2 linked regions of the Arabidopsis thaliana genome follow. The protein of the gene in region 1 interacts with the protein of each later gene in a pairwise test. Each region holds a gene or a part of one and is shown on either strand. Other genes may lie near its edges.

Region 1 (11,870 bases):
CGTTTCTCATAAGATCACTGATGCTACCTCTTTAGCAATGTTCATCAGAGGATGGGCTGAGTCCTCAAGAGGTTTGGGGATTACTTTGATTCCTAGTTTCACCGCTTCTGAAGTCTTTCCTAAACCACTTGATGAGCTTCCTTCAAAACCGATGGATCGCAAAGAAGAGGTTGAAGAGATGAGTTGTGTGACAAAGAGGTTTGTGTTTGATGCTTCGAAGATCAAGAAACTTAGAGCCAAAGCTTCAAGAAACCTTGTGAAGAATCCAACACGTGTTGAAGCCGTCACAGCTCTGTTTTGGAGATGCGTTACTAAGGTTTCAAGATTGAGTTCTCTAACACCAAGAACTTCAGTGCTGCAGATACTAGTGAACCTAAGAGGAAAGGTAGATTCTTTGTGTGAAAACACAATTGGGAATATGCTTTCCCTCATGATTCTCAAGAACGAAGAAGCTGCGATTGAAAGAATTCAAGATGTGGTTGATGAGATAAGGAGGGCAAAGGAAATATTCAGCTTGAACTGCAAGGAGATGTCGAAATCTTCGTCTAGAATTTTTGAGCTTTTGGAAGAGATTGGGAAAGTATATGGAAGAGGAAATGAGATGGATTTGTGGATGAGTAATAGCTGGTGTAAGCTCGGCTTGTACGATGCTGATTTCGGATGGGGAAAGCCGGTTTGGGTGACCGGAAGAGGCACTTCCCATTTCAAGAACTTGATGTTATTGATTGATACCAAAGATGGAGAAGGAATTGAAGCTTGGATCACTCTTACGGAAGAACAAATGTCACTGTTTGAATGTGATCAAGAGCTTCTTGAATCAGCTTCCCTAAATCCCCCTGTTTTAATCTAGACAAGAACAAAACTCATTGCATACTTCTTCCAAGAGATTTATATGAGTTAATTTAAACTTGTGTTGCTTCTTAAATATGAACAAAATAGTATAAAAGAATGCATTAAGTACAAGGGAATGAAATCTGAAAGACAAACTTAAAAGGAAAACAAGCTCAAACTCATTAGAAACGACTAATAGATTACTTGTTTCTCAAGATACAGAGACCATCACACTTGGGTTTGAAGAGACATAGCGAAGCAACTCCTCATCGGCTTCGAATCTAGACATATCGTTCTGGTCAAGGTTGATCCAAGCTTCAATTCCATCACCTTCCTTAGTATCAATGAAAGCTACAAGATTTTTGTAGCTCATTCTTGCAGAGGCAACCCACAAAGGTTTCCCCCATCCGAAATCTGCTTCATACACCGGAAATTTGCAGAGGCTCGTGAAGCTAAACGATACAATCTCTCCATTGACAAAACCTGAAGCTTGTTTGTTTAGAAACTCTAGGTGTCCTCTGTTATCTTCTTGAAGTTTCTTCACGTAAACTGCGTCTATCTTTCTAATCTCCTCTCTCATCTGATCCACAAGAGAAGCCTTTTCTTCATCATTTTCATTGATTATCATCATAGGGACAGTAACAGAGAACCTCATGATGTTCCCGAACATGTTGTCTGGTATATCTGGATCTGCTTGTCTACGCAAGTTCACTGGATGAATCAGTGTATAGATCTTTCCGGTTTTATCATCATGGTTTGTTGAAGCCATGAAACGGCTCCATATGAATACCGATAAGACCTCAACACGTGTCGCGCGGATCTTCTTGTTTCCGCTGAATCTTTCTCTTAAAGACTCAACAGAAGATCTCAAGAACACGAAGCGTCTGGTTACTATGTTCTCCTTCGTGATACCTGTAGCCATGTTTAAGTTTTCTATGTCGCACGGAGGAAACATCTTGGCGAGATCAAAAGAAGGAGTAATGATTTCATCAGTCTGGCCACGAGCAAAAGCTGCCCAACTGTTGACGAAGATGAGACCAGACAGTGCATCACAGAGTTTATGAGAAAGGCCTATTCCGAGTGCTAAGCCGCCACATTCAAAGAAAGTGAGCTGTACCGTGAGAGGCACGTCACTCACTTCATGGAATTCGAATGGATGAAGCTTGTTAAGTTCGTTAGGATTTGGGTTTTCTAGAATCTGTGACATGTTGCAATCGGCTTTGGCTTCGACGAAAGACACACCCACATCGTTGCACACAACAACATCACCCGAGTTCTTGATGCGTCCTGCCAAGGGGTAATAGAGATTCAATATTTCAGACAAAGAACTCTTGATGTGATCACTTCGTTCTTTGTCTGATAGATTAGTCTTGTTATGGTAAAAGAAAAGGAAAGGCATGAAAATGGGAGGAGCAAGCTGATCAAGGAAAGAGAGATGATGATGGCATGGAGGATGATTAAGGTTTCGAGGAGAGGGCTTGACGAGTTCCTGAGAAGTTACCGTGATCTCAAGCCCCATTCTTGTTTTGAAATAACTTATAATAATGATGTATGAGAACTGAGCAGACTCATGCTTCGTCAGTAAGATTATATAAGCTAAAGTTATAAGGAGGTATAGTCCTCTTTAATAACGTGTCATGGTGATTAGACACGGATCAGAATTAGACCCAAGTGAACAAGAAAGTTACAAATTTTATACAAAGATTTGGTTTTGGAGACTTCAGCTGGATTATTTTGTCAACATTATGAAACTTGATATGGGGTTTTGGTTTAACCCAGTTTTATACTAACGTTAGGTGGAAAACTATATCTTCTATTTAGACTTGAACAAGTTAATTTGCCGCAAGTGAGTTAAGCAGCTTCACAGGATACCTTTTCCCTCAAGAAACTCAAGCTTCACAGGATGCCTTTTTCCGCAAGAAACTCTTCTATACAAAATGAGTTTAGGAATAAGTACAAACAAACAAAAATTAAAAACAGGGATTCGGTTCGTCAACAATTATATAGTGATAACATTTTCAAAGTATATATCATCATCATCATTAACTAGTTGGGGTTGGTGGTCGATGGTCCTCAACATCTCCTTTAGTCCTTTAGACTAGTCCTTACCAAAAACGTTTGACTATTCATTTTAGCTAAATTATATATTCCGATAGGCTCGTTTTAATTATACGAAATTATACTTTTGTATTGCCATTCATAACAAATTTTATTTTGTATATATATGTTTGTGGTCGATATAGTCAATGGAACCATTAGGTAGAACTTTAAATCAATAAATGATATTTTTGAATTGAAAATTAGGGTACGAATTATTCCAAATTCCCATTCTTCAACTTAATAAATATGGGCTGTTCATCTACTATGAATTAATATGATCATTACGACCAATAGCAACTAACCAGAATAATACTATAGTATATATTCCCTAGAAACCAATTTTTAATTAGTGGCATTAACATATTCATAAGACAATTAATATTTTTATTTTTATTTATACTATTCAACATTTTTCACAAAAGAAAAAATCCTCCGGGGGGAAAAAACATGCTTTTGGATTAAATATTAAACAAAGAAGGCTCGATCTACAATTTCTAAATCTATATATAGTTAGAAATCATTGTAGCAATAGAGTAAACGTTATTTCTTCATGCTAGCTTCATACGTCATAAATTATGTTGGAGGACACACCATGGTGTTGAATTCATCATTTTCTATATAGCTAGTTGCCAATAAAATTATAATATTCGTTATGGAATTTGAAGGCTGAGAAATATTGTTGCTGGAGAGCGAGTTTAGTTTGTTGTCCACGCGAACAGCAATGATTCAAAACAAAAGTAATAGTTTAACGAAAACGTAGGGTTTTGTTGAGTTATGTATCTCAGCTCTCAACACGATCAACGTCACGTTCAAAACATTACATCTGGATTTGATTATTCCAGGATATTAATTAATTAGGGTTTATCCACTATACTCAATAGAAAACGTACAAACTTCTGAAATGTTTAAAGTACAATTACTATTTAATTAATCTTCTTAATCAATTCTTATTACGTTGACTATTGTGACTCGTGAAAATAGCCCGTGGACTTTGGATGAGGTATTTTACTGCAGCTCATGACATGTTAATAGGACTTATCTAATAGACTAATACTATAGATGTTAGAAACTCTAAATACAAAAGGACTTATCTATAAATATAATCGAACTCAACAATCTCAGTGTAATACCATGAATCAACAATCTTAGCAACCTTTATAACACCATGAATTTAACATTATCATCGTAGTCAATAATAAACGTTTTTTTCTTTTTATACATTAAAAAAAAAAAAATACAATCGTTTAATTAATCAACGAAACGACTGTGTTTTAGTTTCCGTCTAAAATTTAACACCGTTTATTTGCAACATTTGATAGATTATGCATTTAATTTGTTCAAATTTTCAAGATGAAATGTCAATACTTTTGAGTTTATTTTTTTATTTATTTATTTTTTATTAATTTTTTTATACATTTTTATTAATTTTGATTATGGACAAACTAGATTTTTGTAAAATTAACATTGCAATCATGAAAGTGATATTTTCAAAACAAAAGTACATTAGTCTAAAATGATACTGAAATATGAAAAGGATAAAATATGCACTACTAATTTAGTATAGAATCGATAATGAAGAGAGAATCTTCTTCCCTATTCCCTAATTGTGTTCATAATTAGCATAATATAATAAGGAAATAATGTTGGCTCTGACAGGTCACAGATATTGAAGACTTGAACAAAAAAAATACTTTATGAAAGAAGTTGATTAAAGAAACCAATTTGGTAACGGAGACCTGCCAACAGAAAGCATATAATGTTTTATAGATAAGGACAAAAGCTATTTCTCTCTACAAACATTATAACAACAACACTCATCATCATCATCCAATTTCTCATCATTATGATCTTTGAAACAGAACACCAAAATTAAAAAAGTTTGCAAGAACAAAAAAAAAAAAAGAGATAAGATTCTTCTCTCTGTATTTTTGAAAAAAAATATATATAAATTTTTTTCTTGGCTTTCACGAAGTCTCTTTCTCTGGCTGCAAAAATATCATCAATAGCGAAAAGTCGCTTCTTTTTTCTTCTTCCAAAATCTTTAATTTTGTGAAACCGAAGAGATAAGACGTGGAGAAAAGCAGACGTCTCTGTTGTTTGTTTTTGATTCATCGGGTTCTAAGGATTTGTCTGTTTCCAAGACACAAACTTTGGATTCTCTTCTCTTCCTGTTCGTCTTCTCTTGTCTTGATCCTTTTGTTATCATCATCATCTCTTCATCGAGAGAAGAGAGACGAGATTAGGGATTTAAGTTAAGGAGGATGTATTATCAGTTGACCAAGTCTTCTTACAGAGACTCTTTGAAGATTCTGGAGGCTGATATTGAGCACGCCAATGGACTGTGAGTCATCCTCTGATTCTTTCTGGGTTCTTTGATTTTTACTGGGTTTAGGGTCTTTAGTATCGATTGTTATAGTTGGCTTCGATGATTTAGGGTTTAGGGCCCCACAATTTTACATTTTCGGTCGTTATCACGAACTTAGATTATTAAAAATCGAAACTTTGCAGAAATGGTCAAAAAATTGCTAAATTTTGTGGCATGCGTGGTGTGGTCTTGATGCATATGTTGTCTGAAGAAATGGGTTAAATGTGATTAGAAGGATGGTAACTGAATAGTCTCACAATTTGTATATCTGTGGTGTGGTATTGATGCATATGTTGTCTGTGGAAATGGTTTATGTGATTCGAAGGATATAGTAACTGCTTAGTCTCAGAATTGGTATCTGTGTGGTTTGTTCTTCAGGCATATGTTGTCTGAAGGGATGGGTTATGTTAGAAGGATTAGTGTAATGACTGATTACTCTCAAATTTGATTCAGGGCTGCTGAGATTCCAATGGGAAAGAGCGGTGTGCGACTTCAGATGAAATTGGTGTGCAGCAATTTGGCTCCATTCTTCATATTCCTGCTACAATGGATGGATTTCTCATGTCTGCTTCCAAGATATTTTGATTTCTTCCACATACTCATATACAAGGTTGTTACCGCATACATAGATATCGAGTTGTGTGTGTGTGTGTGTGAAATGGTAGATTCCCTGATAGTTTCTCTCCTTTCCTCTTGGCTTGTTTGTTTTATAGGTGTCTTCTTTGTCTTGTACAGGTACGTGCTGATGGGCGGTGGAATCGATCTAGGTACGGAAGGAAAGCTACGATTAGGGAGTTTTACGGTAAGACTAAGCTCTTAATTGTGATTGTGTTTCTTCTACTGTGGGCTTAATCTTATAACTATGGCTCTGGCTAAATGCAGGTGTTATATTACCATCACTTGAGCGACTTCATATCAACTTTGCTGACTTACCGGACGAAAGCTTGTGGTATCCGAATCCAAAAGCCATCACCAAGAAGCAGTATGACATTGAAGGTAGCAGATACATGAATAGCATTGACTTGGAAAGAGAAGACGAATGCGGGATTTGCTTAGAGCCTTGCACCAAAATGGTGTTGCCAAACTGTTGTCATGCCATGTGCATCAAATGTTACCGTAACTGGAACACAAAGTCGGAGTCATGCCCGTTTTGTCGTGGCAGCATCAAGAGAGTGAACTCAGAGGATCTGTGGGTGCTAACTTGCGATGAAGATGTGGTGGATCCAGAGACGGTCACCAAAGAGGATCTTCTTCGGTTCTACCTCCACATCAATAGCCTTCCTAAGGATTATCCAGAAGCGGCCTTCTTAGTCTACAACGAGTACTTGATATGATTTTATCCCGAAACATAAATACGGGTGTACAGAGGGAGAGAGTGATCCCAGACCTTTGATTAAGTGTACATAAGAATCTGGTGATCCATTAATGTTCCTTCGTTTTAGATTATGATTTATGAAGATTGTCATAATCTTAATGTGTACCCCTTTTATTATCAAAGATCAAATGAGAAAGATGATCTTCATGTCTTCTTGCCAACATAAGCATGTTTGAAGATGAGATTTAAAAACTGTTATAAGTAAAATCAATTCCTAGAGATGTTCAATCCGGATAAACCAATGCAAACCGAATCGAACCGAACCAAACCAATTGATTGTGCAATTGTGCTAACTGTTTCAATTTATAAATCCTCAAGTTTCTCTCTCTCTCTCGCAGAACAGAGAGTGGTGAAATCAAGTGAAGAACACTAAGGTTCAACTATGGCGACTCTTCGTTTCACTCTACTTCTTCTTGTCTTCGTCGTCGGGATCTTCTTCTCCTTCTCCTCCGTTTCTCATGTATCTCCATCTCATCTCTTCTCTAAAAACCCAAACTTTTTATATTTTGTGATCCGAACACGATCCGTTTCTTATTTCTTCGTGGCGTCTTTGGTAGGTACGTGCAACAAGTGAAATCAATCTCAGGATCGAACCATTTTCCTCGCCGTTCGCGACGGATCTTGCAAAGCTGCAAACTCAAATTGGGTACAGTAACTTAAAGTCACTTCTTCTCTGTTGATTTTACTAATTTGTTCCTAAATGTGTATTGGAGGATCATAATTAGGGAAATTAAGGCCATTTCTATAAGATTAGATACTCTCTTGATGTGATGATTAAGTTGAATCACTGATTTGGTTAAATTCTATACTCTTAAAGTTGTGACCTTTCCTTTTTTTTTGTTTGGTGTAGCTACAAGTTTAACAACATCAACCTTCTTCGCCGTGCAATGACTCATGCTTCTTTTTCTCAAGAGAACAACAAAGCCTTGAGTATCTTTGGAACCCATATCATTGAAACCGCGGTCTCTCTTCAGTTTCTCGCTAAAGATATCGATATTTCCTCGAAAGCACTGGGCCGTTTGATATCAGAGGTTTCAAATGTGGAGTCCTCATGTGCTCTTGACGGAGACCGGTTGGGTTTGGGGAAGATAATCAGAGTTTCTACTAAGACAGATGCATCGAACTCGGCCATTCTTTGTACTGGCTTTAGGGCAATCTTTGGAGCTATAGCTATTGATGCTGGAACGGTTGATGAAGCCATCAAGGTTTTCTGGAAGGTACATGGAGCTCGAGCTGGAAGACTAGTCTCTATGTTGTAAATTAGAGCTTTATTAAGTCATTAAAGTCATGTTTTTTCGGATGCCAAGTTCTAAGAGACTCTTCTCCAATGCTTAGAATTTTATGGTTGATGTTAACTATTAGCTGCTGTTATGAGGGTGTAAGTGATCATACTATAGTGTTGACTCCAAAACTATCTATTTTTGTTGCAGTACCTGCAGTGACTTAATGACTGAAAACGTTAAAATGACAACAAATCAGTCAATTGCAAAGAATTATGGTGGTATCTCCATAGAAAATGTGAAAGTGGTCCAAAATGTGAGAGATGTGCATGCAGACTTGTGGATCCAACAGTTGTGAAAGATGTTATGTAATCAGAATGTGCAAATGATGCAATAGCGACACATTAGTAATTCGAACTGTTACATGTGTTGCAGTAAGCAAGTCATAGGAAATAGGGATCCCATCATCATTTACTTGTTATTATGTTGAATTTAATTGATATATTTTGTGAATATAGGATTACATATGTATTTAATGCGATATTTTGTTAAGAAGATTTTATGAGAGAATCTGTAATTATATTCTAATTTTTGTCTTACATTTGCAATATATACGTTTGACTAAAATTAAGTGATCCTTAAATTGCACATATTACCATATAAAAGTCACGTGAACAGAAGCAAACGTTTCTTATTGGACGAAACACATCACCCACTTCAATGGCACGACACAACCAAAACATATGTCCAAAAAAAATAAACGATTTTGGGAGAAAACAAAACGCACCGCGTCGGTCGTGCTGCAACGCTTTCTTCTTCTTCTTCTTACCTCGCTAATTTATTACTCACGGATCTCTCTGACTTGAGCCGTTTCACACACTTCCTTTGTTTGCTCCATTTCTCGACTCTCTCTAGAGGTCCCGTCTTTGATTACCGATATTGGCTAATCTCTCTCTCTCTTTAATCCTTCTTCGGTTTCCGAATTCGTGATAGATCTATTGGGGGAAAAAAGGGTTGGGATCGTATTTAGATAATGCACGAGAAGGATGATCTTCCGCAGGATTCTATAGCTGATGGAATTGAGAATGATGACGAGTCTAATGGGCAAGAAGAAGAAGAGCTTGATCCTGACCAGGTGAGATTTCTATTTCACCATGGCTCTGAATCGTTTATGTGGTTTGTGTTTCGTATGCTGAAATTGGGGGGATATATTGGTATTTTGCAGGGAACAGCTTTCGTTGATAGTAAGGAAGATATGTTTGTTGATGCTCCTGAAGAGTTGAATTTTGATACACCTAGCAAGGAAGCTCTTACCACAGATGACGATGATAATGATGACCTTGGAACTCATTTCAATGTCTGTTATTTTTTTTATGATTCTTTTTAAAGTCTAAATTTTTTGTTGAGTTTCCTCGAAAATTTATTGAAAGATCTTTTCTTTTTTTGTTTTCTGCATATAGATTGAGAAGGGGGATTGGGAGAAGGAACTTGCAGGGCTTCAGGAGCAGTTTAAGCTGTTGACTGGTGAGAATGATTTGACAGGTGAAGATGGGAACACTACTGTGGATATTGTCAGTCGCTTCTCGAAGTTCTTAAAAACTGCCAAGGAAGAGCGGATTCAGCATGAGGTTGCACTCAAGGAGCTTCACGGGGTTATTAGTGGGAGGGACGATGAGATTGCTGATCTCACCACAAAAATCTCTGAGCTTTCTTCGTCGCAGCCGGTTTCCGAAATGGGTGATCAGGCACAGAACTTGGAGCACCTTGAGGCTGCAACGGATAGGATTATGGTTTCTCTTAGTAATGTATTTGGGGAAGGGGAGTTGCAGTATGGTTCTTCTATCTCTGAAAAGCTTGCTCATCTGGAGAACCGAGTTTCGTTTTTAGGTGCAAAGTATACTGAGTTTTACTATGGTGCTGATCAGTTAAGGAAGTGTTTGGCTAGTGATGTGTTGGATCTTAGTTTCCAAGAGGATTTTGGTTCAGCTCTTGGTGCTGCTTGTTCTGAGCTATTTGAGCTCAAACAGAAGGAAGCAGCCTTTTTTGAAAGACTTAGTCATCTAGAAGATGAGAATAGGAACTTTGTTGAACAAGTGAACAGAGAGAAAGAAATGTGTGAGTCAATGAGAACAGAATTTGAAAAATTGAAGGCAGAGCTTGAGCTAGAAAAGACTAAGTGTACTAACACAAAAGAAAAGCTCAGCATGGCCGTAACAAAGGGGAAGGCGTTAGTTCAGAACCGGGATGCTCTGAAGCATCAATTGTCTGAAAAAACAACAGAGCTTGCGAATAGGTTGACTGAATTACAAGAGAAGGAGATTGCCCTTGAAAGTTCTGAAGTAATGAAGGGGCAGCTGGAACAATCGTTAACCGAAAAGACGGATGAACTTGAGAAATGCTATGCTGAATTGAATGATAGGTCCGTATCCCTGGAAGCATATGAGCTAACAAAGAAGGAGTTGGAACAGTCTCTGGCTGAAAAAACAAAAGAACTTGAAGAGTGTTTGACGAAACTACAAGAGATGTCAACAGCATTGGATCAATCTGAACTCGACAAAGGCGAGTTAGCAAAATCCGATGCTATGGTTGCATCATATCAGGAAATGTTATCGGTGAGGAACTCTATCATTGAAAATATTGAAACTATCCTGTCAAACATATATACACCTGAAGAAGGTCACTCTTTTGATATCGTTGAAAAAGTAAGGTCACTTGCAGAAGAGAGGAAAGAGCTCACAAATGTTTCCCAGGAATACAACAGACTAAAAGATTTGATCGTTTCCATTGACTTACCAGAGGAGATGTCCCAATCCAGCTTAGAAAGTCGCCTAGCTTGGCTTAGAGAATCTTTTCTCCAGGGAAAAGATGAAGTTAATGCCTTGCAAAACCGGATTGAAAGTGTAAGCATGTCTCTTTCAGCAGAAATGGAGGAGAAAAGTAACATTAGAAAGGAACTGGATGATTTAAGTTTCAGTTTGAAAAAAATGGAGGAAACTGCAGAGCGAGGTTCGTTGGAGAGGGAGGAAATTGTGAGGAGACTTGTGGAAACCTCTGGCTTGATGACAGAAGGAGTCGAAGATCATACTTCTTCAGATATCAATTTACTTGTTGATAGATCATTCGACAAGATAGAAAAGCAAATCAGGGATTCTAGTGATAGTTCTTATGGCAACGAAGAAATATTTGAAGCCTTTCAAAGTCTCCTTTATGTGAGAGATCTGGAGTTTTCACTTTGTAAGGAAATGCTAGGAGAGGGAGAGCTGATTAGCTTTCAGGTAAGCAATCTCTCAGATGAGCTAAAGATCGCATCTCAAGAACTTGCTTTCGTGAAAGAAGAAAAAATTGCTTTGGAGAAAGATCTAGAGCGATCAGAGGAGAAATCTGCTTTGCTCAGAGACAAACTTTCTATGGCTATCAAGAAAGGCAAGGGACTAGTCCAAGATAGGGAAAAGTTTAAAACTCAGTTGGATGAGAAAAAATCTGAAATCGAAAAGCTGATGCTCGAGTTGCAGCAGCTAGGTGGTACGGTTGATGGCTACAAGAATCAGATAGATATGTTATCGAGAGACTTAGAGCGCACGAAAGAGCTAGAGACTGAGCTTGTTGCTACTAAAGAAGAAAGAGATCAACTTCAGCAATCCTTATCTCTAATTGACACGTTGTTGCAGAAAGTGATGAAATCAGTTGAAATTATAGCTCTCCCTGTTGATCTAGCATCTGAAGATCCTTCAGAAAAGATTGACCGACTTGCTGGGTACATCCAAGAAGTGCAGCTGGCTAGAGTAGAGGAACAAGAAGAAATAGAAAAAGTAAAGTCAGAAGTTGATGCGTTAACCAGTAAATTAGCAGAAACCCAAACAGCCCTGAAGTTGGTTGAGGATGCCTTGTCTACTGCAGAGGATAACATCAGTCGGCTTACTGAGGAGAATAGAAATGTCCAAGCTGCCAAGGAAAATGCTGAGCTTGAGCTGCAAAAAGC
Region 2 (12,330 bases), on another chromosome or scaffold:
AAGTTGAAAATTGTGTTTGGACTACTCGAGATTATTTTATTTTATATAAGTCCGATTGGTAACACAAAACTGTACAAAATTTTAGCTGTTAGCTATAACCAAAACTTTTTTTGGAATAGTGCAAAGTTGTACAAAAGAATTATACGAGAAAGCTGTACAGTAAAGTTAAGAGTAAAACTTTTTGTAATGTTTTTGATAAAGTTAATTTTTGCGAATGATAACTCTCAAAATAGTACAAGTTATATCGCTTTGAGAATGTGTTACCATTTAAAACCTATAACATGACAAATATTAAGTGATAGACTTTATAATACTTTTAGATATAGAAAAATTGAGAGATAGAAAATTTCTTCATCCAAAAAGAAAGAGAGAAGTTGGATTCCCAATTTGCGGGATCCCAAAAAAATAAAATCCCCATTAGGCATCATAGTGTGTCCTCACAAGAAGATAGATATCGTGCCATAAATTAGAACTGAGAGTAAGGGGTCTTGGAATCCATCTCTCACTCTCATTCCTCTGTCACTTCCAGAAACCAAACTATTCATCTATCTAAATTGATCTATTTGGCTTAAAGTATCTTAGAGTCATCAAGAGGAAACCCCTTGTCTTTCCAAAAACTTTCTCGATATCATGCTATCACTGACATATTATTGGATATAAGACTTATAAGTCTAATACCCAATTATTGTAGTTTGTGTAGTTGATTGATGTCAAAGTTCATATGGTTTCAAATTTATTGGTAAATATTATGATTGATATCCTTTTTTTGATTTTAAAAATCACCATTTATATATTTTTCAACAACCGTTAAGCAAAAATTTTAAACCAATCTGCGGTAGTTCTTGTAGGCATTTTTCAAGTTTTTTTTAGTGTAGTTTCTTAAAGATACTAAAATTTAATTTATCGTGTCTAGTTTAAATTTGTGTAATTAATGTTCGCTATCTTTCTTTAAAAAAACAAGCACCTTAACATATATATGTGTCTATAACAAAGTAAGTTTGAGTACATAATATTGCATGCAAATATATGCGGCAAAACTAAAAAGTAATAAACGGCAAATGAAAAAAAAAGCTGCTTTAATTCAAATAATTAAATATTCGGAGTGACTCACTTTCTTTTTCCCCAGGGACTTCTTACCTATAAATATAACACCTCACCACACCCATTGTTTCATTCATCTTTCCAGCTTTCTTCACTTTTTCCTTTATATAAAGTTAGAAAAACAAAAAAAACAAAATAGTTAGAAAAAATCTGAGAGAAACAGAAGAAACATAAAAAAAATGAGGCCATTGAGCATTAAACCAACATCGTTAGATGTAGCTAGACATGCCACATCAGTAGAATCATTTGGGAATCACCGACCGCCGATATCGCCGTGGCACTCACCGGTGCCGTACCTATTCGGTGGTCTTGCGGCGATGTTAGGCCTCATAGCCTTCGCTTTACTTATCCTAGCCTGCTCTTACTGGCGCTTGTCAACCTCCGGTGATGACTCCGGCGAAAGAGTCGACGAGGAAAAAGAGAGTCGGTCTGGAGTGAAGGCGGCTAGCGCGGCGTGCGAGGAGAAGGTTCTTGTCATAATGGCCGGAGATGACTTGCCGAGGTTTCTGGCCACGCCGGCGGCGAACAAATGCATGTGCGGTCACGAGGGTAGAATGGTAATTTTCAAGGAGGATGGTATTGGTGCTGGAGAGGAGAAAATGGGAGACAGAGAGAAAGCCAAAGAAAATGAAGAAACAACGAGTCAGTGAGCTTTTTTGTTTTCTTTTCTTCTCTCAGTCTTGTCTTTTTTTTTTTGTTGGGGAATTTTCCTTCGTGTTTTCACGGGAAATGTAAAATTTACTGAGAGAAAATTTTGGGTTATGATTAATGAATGTTTGCTTGTAATTTCCTATCCCCAATGGTGGAAAACTCGTTTTTAGTTTTTGTAATTCTCAAAAGTGTGATAGGTAACCTTTCTCATACAGCTTTAATACCAATCAGTAATAGAGTAAACTAAAACGGAATAACATAATAGTACTTAAAATTCTTACAATTTTATGTCATCACTAAGATCTACAAAAAAATGAATCATAGTATCATAACACTATGTTTGCCCAAAAAAAAAAAAAAAAGTATCATAACACTATTGATCATAAATTCAAAGCTTGCAATGTTTCGATGGAAACGTGATTCATCCCGTACACAAACTGTAATTTTATATACATTTTCAGAAACTAATGTAATGCATTAACCCTTTTGTATTACGTATATATTCTCACATTTTATATTTTGTAAGGAGATTCGTTTAGTTACTTTAATTATGAATTGTTATAATTGTGTCTCCTCCATGTATTTGTGTTACTTTCATATTTTCCTTGCATTTATATATTTTATTTACCATAGGATAGTTCTGAATTTGCTATCAACTTGGATATTTTAAATTAATTGAGACTCCATCTAGTTCACCGTCAAATTTTAACTATACTTGTTTAACTATACTTGTTATATAACGAGTGAATAAACTGGAAATAGTATTACTATTAACTATGAACTTACATTCGTAATATTCGAAAATATGTGCGTGAGTTAGTCTTGTCACAAGAAAAGGAATCATATTCTTTTTTTCATTAAACAAAAATTGGAAACACATATTATGGTATAAATCAAAAGATAATTCGATTACTTGCCCCATTTGCCTGCTTTACTTTCAATTTGATAATATCCCATCAACAAGAGTCTTGTTACATGACCAAATTTTCTTCTGTTCTCACGTTATTAAGTATTTTGAAGTGAAGTGCACTCCAAACAAACGTCTAAAACTTAAGGTTTGTATAATCCTCAATCAAAAACATTTTACAACTTATTTCTATTTTTTTATATTGGGGTCTTTTTCCCAGCTACTAATATACGATCACTTAAGTAATTTTTTGTAAAAATCATTAAAAATCCTAATAAACTCATTTGCGTAGTTCAATTACACACATACATATGTAGTAATATAAATATTATTTTCCGTTTTAAATTATCGTAAATGGAATGTCATTTAGAATTTTAATTTTATTCACCACAAATGTTTTTTTCTGTTTTAATATATTTGTTTGTTAAAATTTATATTTTCGTCGCTAATTAGTCCACTGAAATTATAATCCACAGGCTAGATAATCCACTGATTTCAACAAAGGTGAAAAAATTATATAACTAATATTTGTCCATTAGTAGTAGCTAATTAATTGAAAACGTTTGTTCTCTGAATCGAAAGAGCTGCATAAGAGAAAGGGGACACGTGTCAAAAACAGAGTTTAATATGAAAGCGAAGACAATGATTCTGTTTTGACTTATTTGTCATTTGCTGAGCTGTCTTTAGAGGCGCCGAGTAGCCGCGTCTCCCGCAAGAAAGTTCCAAAGCAATACTTCTTCTTTCATTGCATTCATTTCCCCAACTGTCTCAAACTTTGTGCCGCATAAGCAAAAGGTACAAATAAAATAATAATAAAAATAAAGGATGGCGAAAACAAAATTACTTGTATCAAACAAGAACATTTTGTTAATTTTTCCGAGTGAAAACATCACTTGATATGGATATGCGATTTTAGTTGTTGTAAGTTTCTCTAGCATAATTGATAATTCCTATTAACATCAATTTTGATATAGCATTAGGACTTCAATGTTTTTATTTTTAGGGTTTGTTCTTTTTGACTTCATTAGTCTAGTGGTACTTTAAGACCACTTTTTCACCTCACACATGGATGATCCAGACCTAGTCAAGCTAGGAGTGACTTTTATGTTTATATAATTTATACATGTTAAATTATTTTAGTTTTCTTTTTTAAAGGAGATGAATTTAATTCGGTGTGGATCCCGTCTCTAGAAAATATAGGGTCTTTGGGCTTGAACTTCCAAATATTCGAATAACAAAAAAAATTATTTTAGTTTTTAACCCAAAAAGAAAACATTTGCGATCAAATGTTATTGTAAACAACGCACACTAAAAAGACATTTACCCTTTTCGGTGAAGAGACACAGGGACAGCTACATGCGACCCAAAAAATGAGCTTACCCTCTATTTCACATATGTAAGAATATACTCTAATTAGACTCAGCATGTAGTATAAAGAAGGTGTTGACAAAAAAGCTCAAATAATTCGATAAACTAACAATGCACGGGTACTAATTAACAAGGAATTCTCATAAAATTGAAGGTAAATTTAAACAACAATAAGAGCATCCCAATTAGGTAAGAGATTTAGTTAAGTAATTGCGATCAAGGAAACAAGTACAACAGAAGTGGAAGTCTGTCTCTATATCACTTTCTTCCCTGATGCATAAACTTACCTCTTGTTCACAAACTTTGTTAACATTTTGATAATGCAATGAAATGAAATTAGAAATTCAAAACAAAAATAGAGAAAAGTACAACCAGTGGACTATAGTCCAATTAGTCAACCAAAGTAACAATGGGCCGAGCTGATAATATTTAGGCCCAAAAAAAGCCTCTGGACGAATCAGAGACACTGGAAATGAACGTTCTTCTTCGCACTAACTCTCAAAGAAGAAGAAAAGATCTGAGAGGTGGTCGAATGATCCAAGAGAAGAAGAACAATCTCTCTTAGATCGTTTGATCTGATCCAATCGAAGAAGAAGATGGGAATCTTATTCACGCGGATGTTCTCTTCCGTCTTTGGTAACAAAGAAGCTCGAATCCTCGTCCTCGGTCTCGACAATGCTGGAAAAACCACAATCCTCTGTAAATTCACTGCCTCAATCTTTCGCATTGTGTAATAGATTTGATATTTAGTAGCTAGGGTTTTTGATTCGATCGTTTTTTGAGTTGCGTTGATGTTTTTGATTCTCTGTGATTCCAGATCGGCTTCAGATGGGGGAAGTTGTCTCTACGATTCCGAGTATGTATCTAATCTCTCGATTATTGTATAGATTATGGATCTAGTTTATGTATCGTGATTTTACGAATTTTGGTTTTGATCTGATCTTTGCAGCTATTGGATTTAACGTTGAGACTGTGCAGTACAACAATATCAAGTTTCAGGTCTGGGATTTAGGTATGTTTTCGAAGAATGTGTTCGAACGCATTAAACTTTGAATTTGAAGTAGTAGAAATGATTTTTGGTATTATATGGAAGGGATATTCGAAATCTACAACACTATATAAGCATTAGATTAATCCAAATCAAACCATTTTCTGATGGATTCAGTTAGAGATTCTCTGCGTTCTTCTTTCTAAGTTGACTAGCTCCATGGTAGTAGATCTTCAGTGTCACTTTTGTATAATTGGAATGTTTGTCTTTTGTATGAATTAACGAATTCATGATCAGAATTTTCCTTGATTTGGAGTCCTTAGATAAGTTGTTGTCGTATGTGTCGTTATATTCGACTTTCTTGTTCCAAGTTATTACCTTTTCCAACTGGTCTTGATGAGATAGATGAAGTTCTTTGTATTCAAATTTGGGTGATAAAGAGTTCTGTATTATCACATCTTCTTCCTATAGTTTTTATTATTATTATTGTTTTGCACGTGTTGTATGTACATCTGTCTTGTTAGTTATATGCGAATGCTTTTGCATTTTACAAAATTGGTTCAGCGACACAGTACATTAACAAGAACTTTCCTATGACAGGTGGACAAACAAGCATCAGGTAGCTTAATGACCTCGTTTCTCATTTCTAGATATGATGAACATATTGCATCTACTGTGAAGGAATGAAGAACAGAAATGCTCCATCAAGATTATACTGTTTTTGTTTTGCCCAATTTTCTAATGGTATTTTTGACAGGCCATACTGGCGATGCTATTTCCCGAATACACAAGCAGTGATCTATGTTGTTGACTCGAGTGATACAGATAGAATCGGGGTGGCGAAAGAGGAGTTTCATGCAATTTTAGAGGTAAAGTACTGCTGAGGCTTCCTCTTCTTATACTGTTGTATTATTTTGTGATGGACTTCTTGCATCCAAAAGTAATTGAGGTAAAACGATGATGATGTATATCGGTAGTTGAATGGAAATACAATATTGGTTCAGTTTCTTGTTTAGGACTTGTTATAGATGCTTGTAAGTTGTATATCAAGTATTGTTAGCCTTCTAATAGGTGATACTGAAATTGAAGTATCTCGGTTAGTACTGGACGGAAAGAACAAGTGATCATTTCTCTCTGTAGATCTTGCTAGCTAATCTTAAACTCTCAGCAACAATGCTTACTTGAGTTTACCTCTGCCACTGTCAGCATTTAACTCGCACTATCTTTTCAACTATGTTTTATAGGAAGATGAATTGAAAGGTGCGGTGGTTCTGATATTTGCAAACAAGCAGGTTAGTAGTCTCTAAATGTTTGCTCTTCCGATTAGTTTGGGCTGATTCATCTGGAAATCTGTATTGGTTTCTGTTGCTAAAAAGCTTTAGTTTGTTTTGCATGCACAAGACACTTTTTTGCTGATGAAAAATCTATAACTATTTGGTCTGAGTTTCATTAAATCGACTTAATTTAGGATCTTCCCGGTGCACTCGATGATGCGGCTGTTACAGAAGCCTTGGAGTTGCATAAGATAAAGAGTCGTCAATGGGCAATCTTCAAAACTTGTGCTGTGAAAGGCGAGGGACTTTTCGAGGGATTGGACTGGTAAGCACATTCTGAAACCGAACCATTTTCTTGGTCCCATTATTGAAACACTGAACCCATTTCTTTATGCATTTCTTCTCAAATATTCTTCTCTCATTTCCATCTTGATCTTCAGGTTGAGTAATACATTGAAGTCGGGAAGTGGCTAAAATCATCGTCATACACCAATCTGTCACATTTCTCAAGAGTGTAACTTTGATCATTTTTACTTATTGGTTTGTTTAGTATCTTTTTTTTATCTTAGTTCTTCATCTTAAAGAGTTAATATCAATGACATGTTCACTTAATATTCTCTTTTTGTTGTTTTGTTTCATTCTGAAAGAAAAAACCCAACACAGATTTTTGATTGAGACCCATAAGGGGTAATATCATCACTTTTTAACATGAAATATTGAACTGATTCCAGACGAAACACTGAATTGGTTCCAAGTGGTGTTTTTGCCGACTTGGATTCAGAAGCTCAAACGTTTGGGGTTTTAGAAGTCCTAATTTATGTAATTTGTCTGCTCCTTAATTAATGATAAAATTGTTGACACTATTATGCCATTTAGTAGATAGTAAGATTTTTTTTTAATGTTTTCAAAGAGGCAAAAATAATTTGCAAGGAATATATAGAACTAGCAAGATACTAGCCTAAGCTATTTGATTAACTTTCCTGCTAATAATGCTAGTATGCTACCAAAACAAAACACAAGCGATTTGTGAAGCTCTTTCTTAAAGAGTCCGGCTCGGCGTTTAGAGAATGTAACTTGACGGTGGCTCTCTTTCTTGATCTTACCATAGAATCTTTTATATGGCGGGTGTTGAGCAAATTAACTTAAACAAATTTGTTTTATTATCGTAACTCAATAAAAATTACGATTTCTAGTCATAAACAAAAGGCTGTACATAGCATTAGGCCTGCTACGGATCCGGATATCCGGGTTTTTTGGAGTATCTGGATCCGTATCCGTATCCGGCGGATATGTAGTTTTAGGATCCGCATCCGGATCCGTAAACCTCGGATATCCGGATTTCGAATATCCATGAAAAAACCGGATATCCGCGGATATTCGAGATCCGTTTATTTTTGGGAACAAATTCAATTTCCTATTTCACCAACCAGATTGAATTCACCACCAAAAGAGATCGACGTGTGCCCGACATCAGACTTTGCAAGGCACATACCACCAAGATCTCGTCTTTAACGGTGTCCAATCTGCTCCTCCTCATTCATCTCCGCCATCGACACTTTGAATCCCATGTATCATCATTCCCGTAAGTAAACTTCCGTCCATAAATTTACGACGGTGGAACCGAGATGAATATGGTGGGGAGACGGTGATGAAGATTACATGGAGATGAGATGGAGATAGTGAAGGAAATGGTGATGAAGGAAACATTCACGGCGGCAGAAAAAATATGTTATGAAACCCTAATAGTTAAGTCCCAAACAAACTCAAATTCCATCATTTTGTCGTAGTGGGCTAATATTGGACTATTGGGCTTAACATTGATAATGTGTATTTGATTAAGCCCAGGATACAAATATAACTTAAGCCCATAATACAAATATGTAGACATATTGAACGGATGCGGATATTCGGCTCTGATTTTTTTCATAATCTGGATCCGTATCCGGATCCGCCGGACTCGTATCCAGATCCGCCGGACTCGTATCCAGATCCGCCGGACTCGTATCCGGATCCGTCGCACCTAATTATTCGGTTTTCCGGATCGGATCACGGATCCGGATTCGAATACCCGCGGATAACGGATTTTAGTCCCAGGCCTACATAGCATCTACGGTAATTATTAACTATTAAGTAACCATGGGTAAATTCGAATTTCCTTGCCGACAAAAAGAAGGAACTTTCCATTCCTTTTGTGAAAGTCCGTGAGAACATGAACCCAAGTTAATACACCTTCACATGATTAGCCCCACTTCTCCTAAATGTCTCGTAAACTCCAACTATTCGGCTAAGATTCACTAACGTGTCATCTCTCTATTCGCTATTCCCAGATCTCCATGACCCACTTCACTCCCTGCGCGTCCGGTACAATCGCCACTTCCATAACACCAAGAGTCAATACAAAAAAAAAGCCGACTCCATTATTATCCCTCTCTCTACAAAAAAAACAGTAGAGAGAGATATAGAGAGCATCAATGGCGTCGTCGTCAAGACTTTGCGATTCGTGCAAATCGACGGCAGCAACTCTATTCTGCCGCGCAGACGCCGCGTTTCTCTGCGGCGACTGCGACGGTAAGATCCACACAGCTAACAAACTCGCATCACGTCACGAACGAGTTTGGCTATGTGAAGTATGCGAACAAGCACCAGCACACGTCACGTGCAAAGCTGACGCCGCTGCGTTATGCGTCACGTGCGACCGTGATATCCACTCAGCTAATCCACTCTCTCGCCGCCACGAGCGCGTACCAATCACTCCTTTCTACGACGCTGTAGGTCCAGCAAAATCCGCTTCCTCCTCCGTCAATTTCGTAGATGAAGATGGCGGTGACGTCACTGCTTCGTGGCTTTTAGCTAAAGAAGGAATCGAAATCACTAATTTGTTCTCCGATCTTGATTATCCGAAGATTGAGGTAACGTCGGAGGAGAATAGCTCCGGTAACGACGGAGTTGTTCCTGTGCAGAATAAGTTGTTTCTTAACGAAGATTACTTCAATTTCGATCTCTCTGCTTCCAAAATTTCTCAACAAGGATTCAATTTCATCAACCAAACTGTACGAATCTCTCTCTATCTTCTTAAGCTTCCATGGATCTGGAAAATTTTCAGATCTAGATCTGAAAGTTTGGATCTGATTTGAGTTTGTGAAATGTTGTTAGGTTTCGACGAGAACGATAGATGTACCGTTGGTGCCTGAAAGTGGAGGAGTGACGGCGGAGATGACGAACACGGAGACGCCAGCTGTGCAGTTATCACCGGCGGAGAGGGAAGCAAGGGTTTTGAGGTATAGAGAGAAGAGGAAGAATCGGAAATTTGAGAAGACGATTAGGTATGCGTCGCGTAAAGCTTACGCTGAGATGAGGCCGAGAATCAAAGGACGTTTTGCTAAGAGAACAGATTCGAGAGAGAATGATGGTGGAGACGTCGGAGTTTATGGCGGATTCGGTGTTGTTCCGAGTTTCTGATATTTTCCGGTGAAAGAAACATGGTAGTAGTATATCGGTTAATAGCAGATTAAGGATAATTAAAACTAAAATGTTTCCTGATTTAATCAGGGGCTAAGTTATTGTTAGAAGATTGTTGTTTTTTGAATTAATTCTCACAATTGTATCCTAAATTATATAGTTTACTTAATGTTGAACTAATAAATTTTGATTTACAATCTCTGTAAGAAATCGATATGCAAAAATAAATGAGTTGAGCTATTAAGATTAACATTCATATAGAACACAAACTCATACAATCAGCTGTGGTGGTGTCCGAGACTGCAAAATTCAAGAGGCGATGGAGGCCAACGTTGATGGTGAACGAGGCCAGATTCGAGAAGCAAAAACTTGTCACGCGGTTGAAGAGAAAGAGCATTTAAAGAAGAGGTGGTTGTGGGTTTCGATACCGTTAGAGCAAAGCACACAAGCTGCAGAGATATTCAGTCCCCAACTTATGAGCCTGTCTTTCTTAAGCAATCTACCTTTCAATGCAAGCTAAGTGATGAAAGAATACCTTGGCACTGCATTCTTGAACCAAACAACCTTATTCCAAGGAATCAAAGTAGAATGTGCTCGTAATTGCTCTCAAGTTTCCTTAGAAGAGAAAAATTGTGCAAAGAAACCAAACATTAAGATATTTAGTTATTAATGAAAATTCAAACATGAGAAAAAACTTAATCAAACGAAAGCAACACAAAAGAAGAAGAAATCTACATATTCTAAAATAACAAACCACTAATTCTCTTTTAGTAAATGGTATAACCTTGAAGGAGAACCCTTTCAAGTATTAGATAATCTAATCATTTTTCGTCGTCATTACTCATAAAGTGTCGAAATATCACTTCATATCAATTGGTTTGCGTAAAACTGACCATACGTCTTCAATGATTGTCATATCAAATGATTCGAAAAGTGTTGGCATATGCATACTCTAGTTTTCATAATGAATCGATTCTCAGACTCTTAGCAAACAAAGGAACATAACATCATCATAATAAAATTTTGAATGAAGTCAGAAACCGCAAATCAAAACTGTGAAGATATGAACTTGATAAGCAAGTTTAAAGCTAACTCAAGTTAATATAAGTTGAACTTGGGTTGAGTTAAATGCTTTTGGATCATAAAGGAGGGTGTCCACGATGTTGCAAGGGCTGGCACAAGTTAGGACAGTCTTCTCATCTTGTGTTTCAAGCAGCCACGTTTGGCGTTTCAAGATGCAACCTTTAAGGTTTACTTTAGCACAAGAAGCTCTAGTTTTATTATCACTATCAATTCACAACAATGTTATTGTGGCCCAGCAGTTAAGTCTCTGTTCCACTTAAGCTTTGACTTATAACTCTTGTAGTCACCTTCTTCTTCATAGTGGAAAGATGTGGATCGAAAGAAAGATCATAACCGGACGTAGCGGTTCGTTAATACCGTGAACCAGGTGAACAAATATTTGTGTGCTTCTCTCTTCTTCTCCCTTTCTTCTACTCTGTTATTTCCTCTTATTCTTCTCCATACTTTGCGTGATATGTTTTTCGTGAGTTGGTGTCAATGACAAAGAGCTGAAAGCTAGAGCCTTTGAGAGGTTAAAAACTTTATGTAATATTGTGACGACAAGATCTAAAAATATATGCGGGGATCAACTTAATATTTTTAAAATAAGTATATACATAAGAGATAAAACTAAGTATGCCATTATTTTAAAATTTAAATTTATCATGATATATTGTAATTAACAGTTTAAGTAATGGTAGCAATGTCCAAATGAATTGTGAACTGTCGGGATCAATGACATTGAAATTCTACAATTCATTGAAATATTATTGAGATAATATTATTCTTTGTGTCAATAGGAGGAGAAAAATATATCACCATTTTCGGATGTCAACCAACCGATTTTGACATTCAAAACATATTGTACAAAATATGCTATTACTAATAAAATTCAGTATAAATTTATCATTTTATTTGGTAGCAATTTCTACATAAAATCTGAACTTCCGAGATAAATGGCTTCAAAATTCTCAACCATATGGAATTTTTTTTTTTTTTTTTTGTGACATTAGGTGAAACTAAACCAAAATATATGAAAATAATTTCCTACATTTTATAAATTGAATTTTTTTTTTCTTCTAATTAACTGAATTGAGAAGGGGTTTTCAAGAGATGACAAGTACTACTCTTGTAAACAGAGAAGAAATACTCAAAGTTATATTCTCATTCTTAACCTTCTCATTACATAGCTTTATCTATTTATATGAAAAGCTAAGGGATACAATGGTTGAACTAGAGTTTTAGTAAATGTTTTGATGAATGACAAGTGTCTTCATCTGCACATGGCTGGAGATTCAAGGACTGTGAAGCTATTCTTCAATTGGAGTGTAGCGTGAGCTGGAGTCGACATTTTGACAGTACGAAGCTGAGTACATGACGACGATGCTCTGTTACCGTTAAAGTCTGAAGAAGCTTTTACACTCGTCTTGGGCTTTGTTTGCATAGTTAGGTCTATTACAATTGTTTTGGTTGTCTATTGGACCAAGACTGGAGTTGTCTTCCTTACATTTTGAATTCAA

Evidence for each region.
Region 2: the proteins of AT1G24440 (region 1) and ARF3 interact in a protein complementation assay, tested with the Arabidopsis thaliana proteins (one large-scale study listed by BioGRID).

The regions. Positions count from the first base shown.
Region 1 is NC_003070.9:8,657,148-8,669,017, forward strand, and holds AT1G24440 (RING/U-box superfamily protein), read left to right. Parts: upstream 1-4,690; 5' UTR 4,691-5,192; coding exon 5,193-5,272; exon of another isoform or gene 5,273-5,535; intron 5,536-5,749; coding exon 5,750-5,906; intron 5,907-6,031; coding exon 6,032-6,098; intron 6,099-6,178; coding exon 6,179-6,630; 3' UTR 6,631-6,860; downstream 6,861-11,870. Other genes in the region: AT1G24420 (HXXXD-type acyl-transferase family protein), read left to right, coding at 1-850; AT1G24430 (HXXXD-type acyl-transferase family protein), read right to left, coding at 1,043-2,350; NFD2 (Ribonuclease III family protein), read left to right, coding at 7,054-7,131, 7,229-7,317, 7,522-7,930; TNO1 (TGN-related, localized SYP41 interacting protein), read left to right, coding at 8,925-9,026, 9,117-9,248, 9,352-11,870.
Region 2 is NC_003071.7:10,558,199-10,570,528, forward strand, and holds ARF3 (ADP-ribosylation factor 3), read left to right. Parts: upstream 1-4,489; 5' UTR 4,490-4,623; coding exon 4,624-4,726; intron 4,727-4,844; coding exon 4,845-4,883; intron 4,884-4,976; coding exon 4,977-5,039; intron 5,040-5,615; coding exon 5,616-5,634; intron 5,635-5,772; coding exon 5,773-5,884; intron 5,885-6,259; coding exon 6,260-6,307; intron 6,308-6,483; coding exon 6,484-6,614; intron 6,615-6,729; coding exon 6,730-6,763; 3' UTR 6,764-7,098; downstream 7,099-12,330. Other genes in the region: GDU4 (glutamine dumper 4), read left to right, coding at 1,281-1,751; AT2G24780 (uncharacterized protein), read right to left, coding at 7,483-7,641; COL3 (CONSTANS-like 3), read left to right, coding at 8,761-9,339, 9,443-9,748. UniProt on the Arabidopsis thaliana protein: GTP-binding protein involved in protein trafficking; may modulate vesicle budding and uncoating within the Golgi apparatus.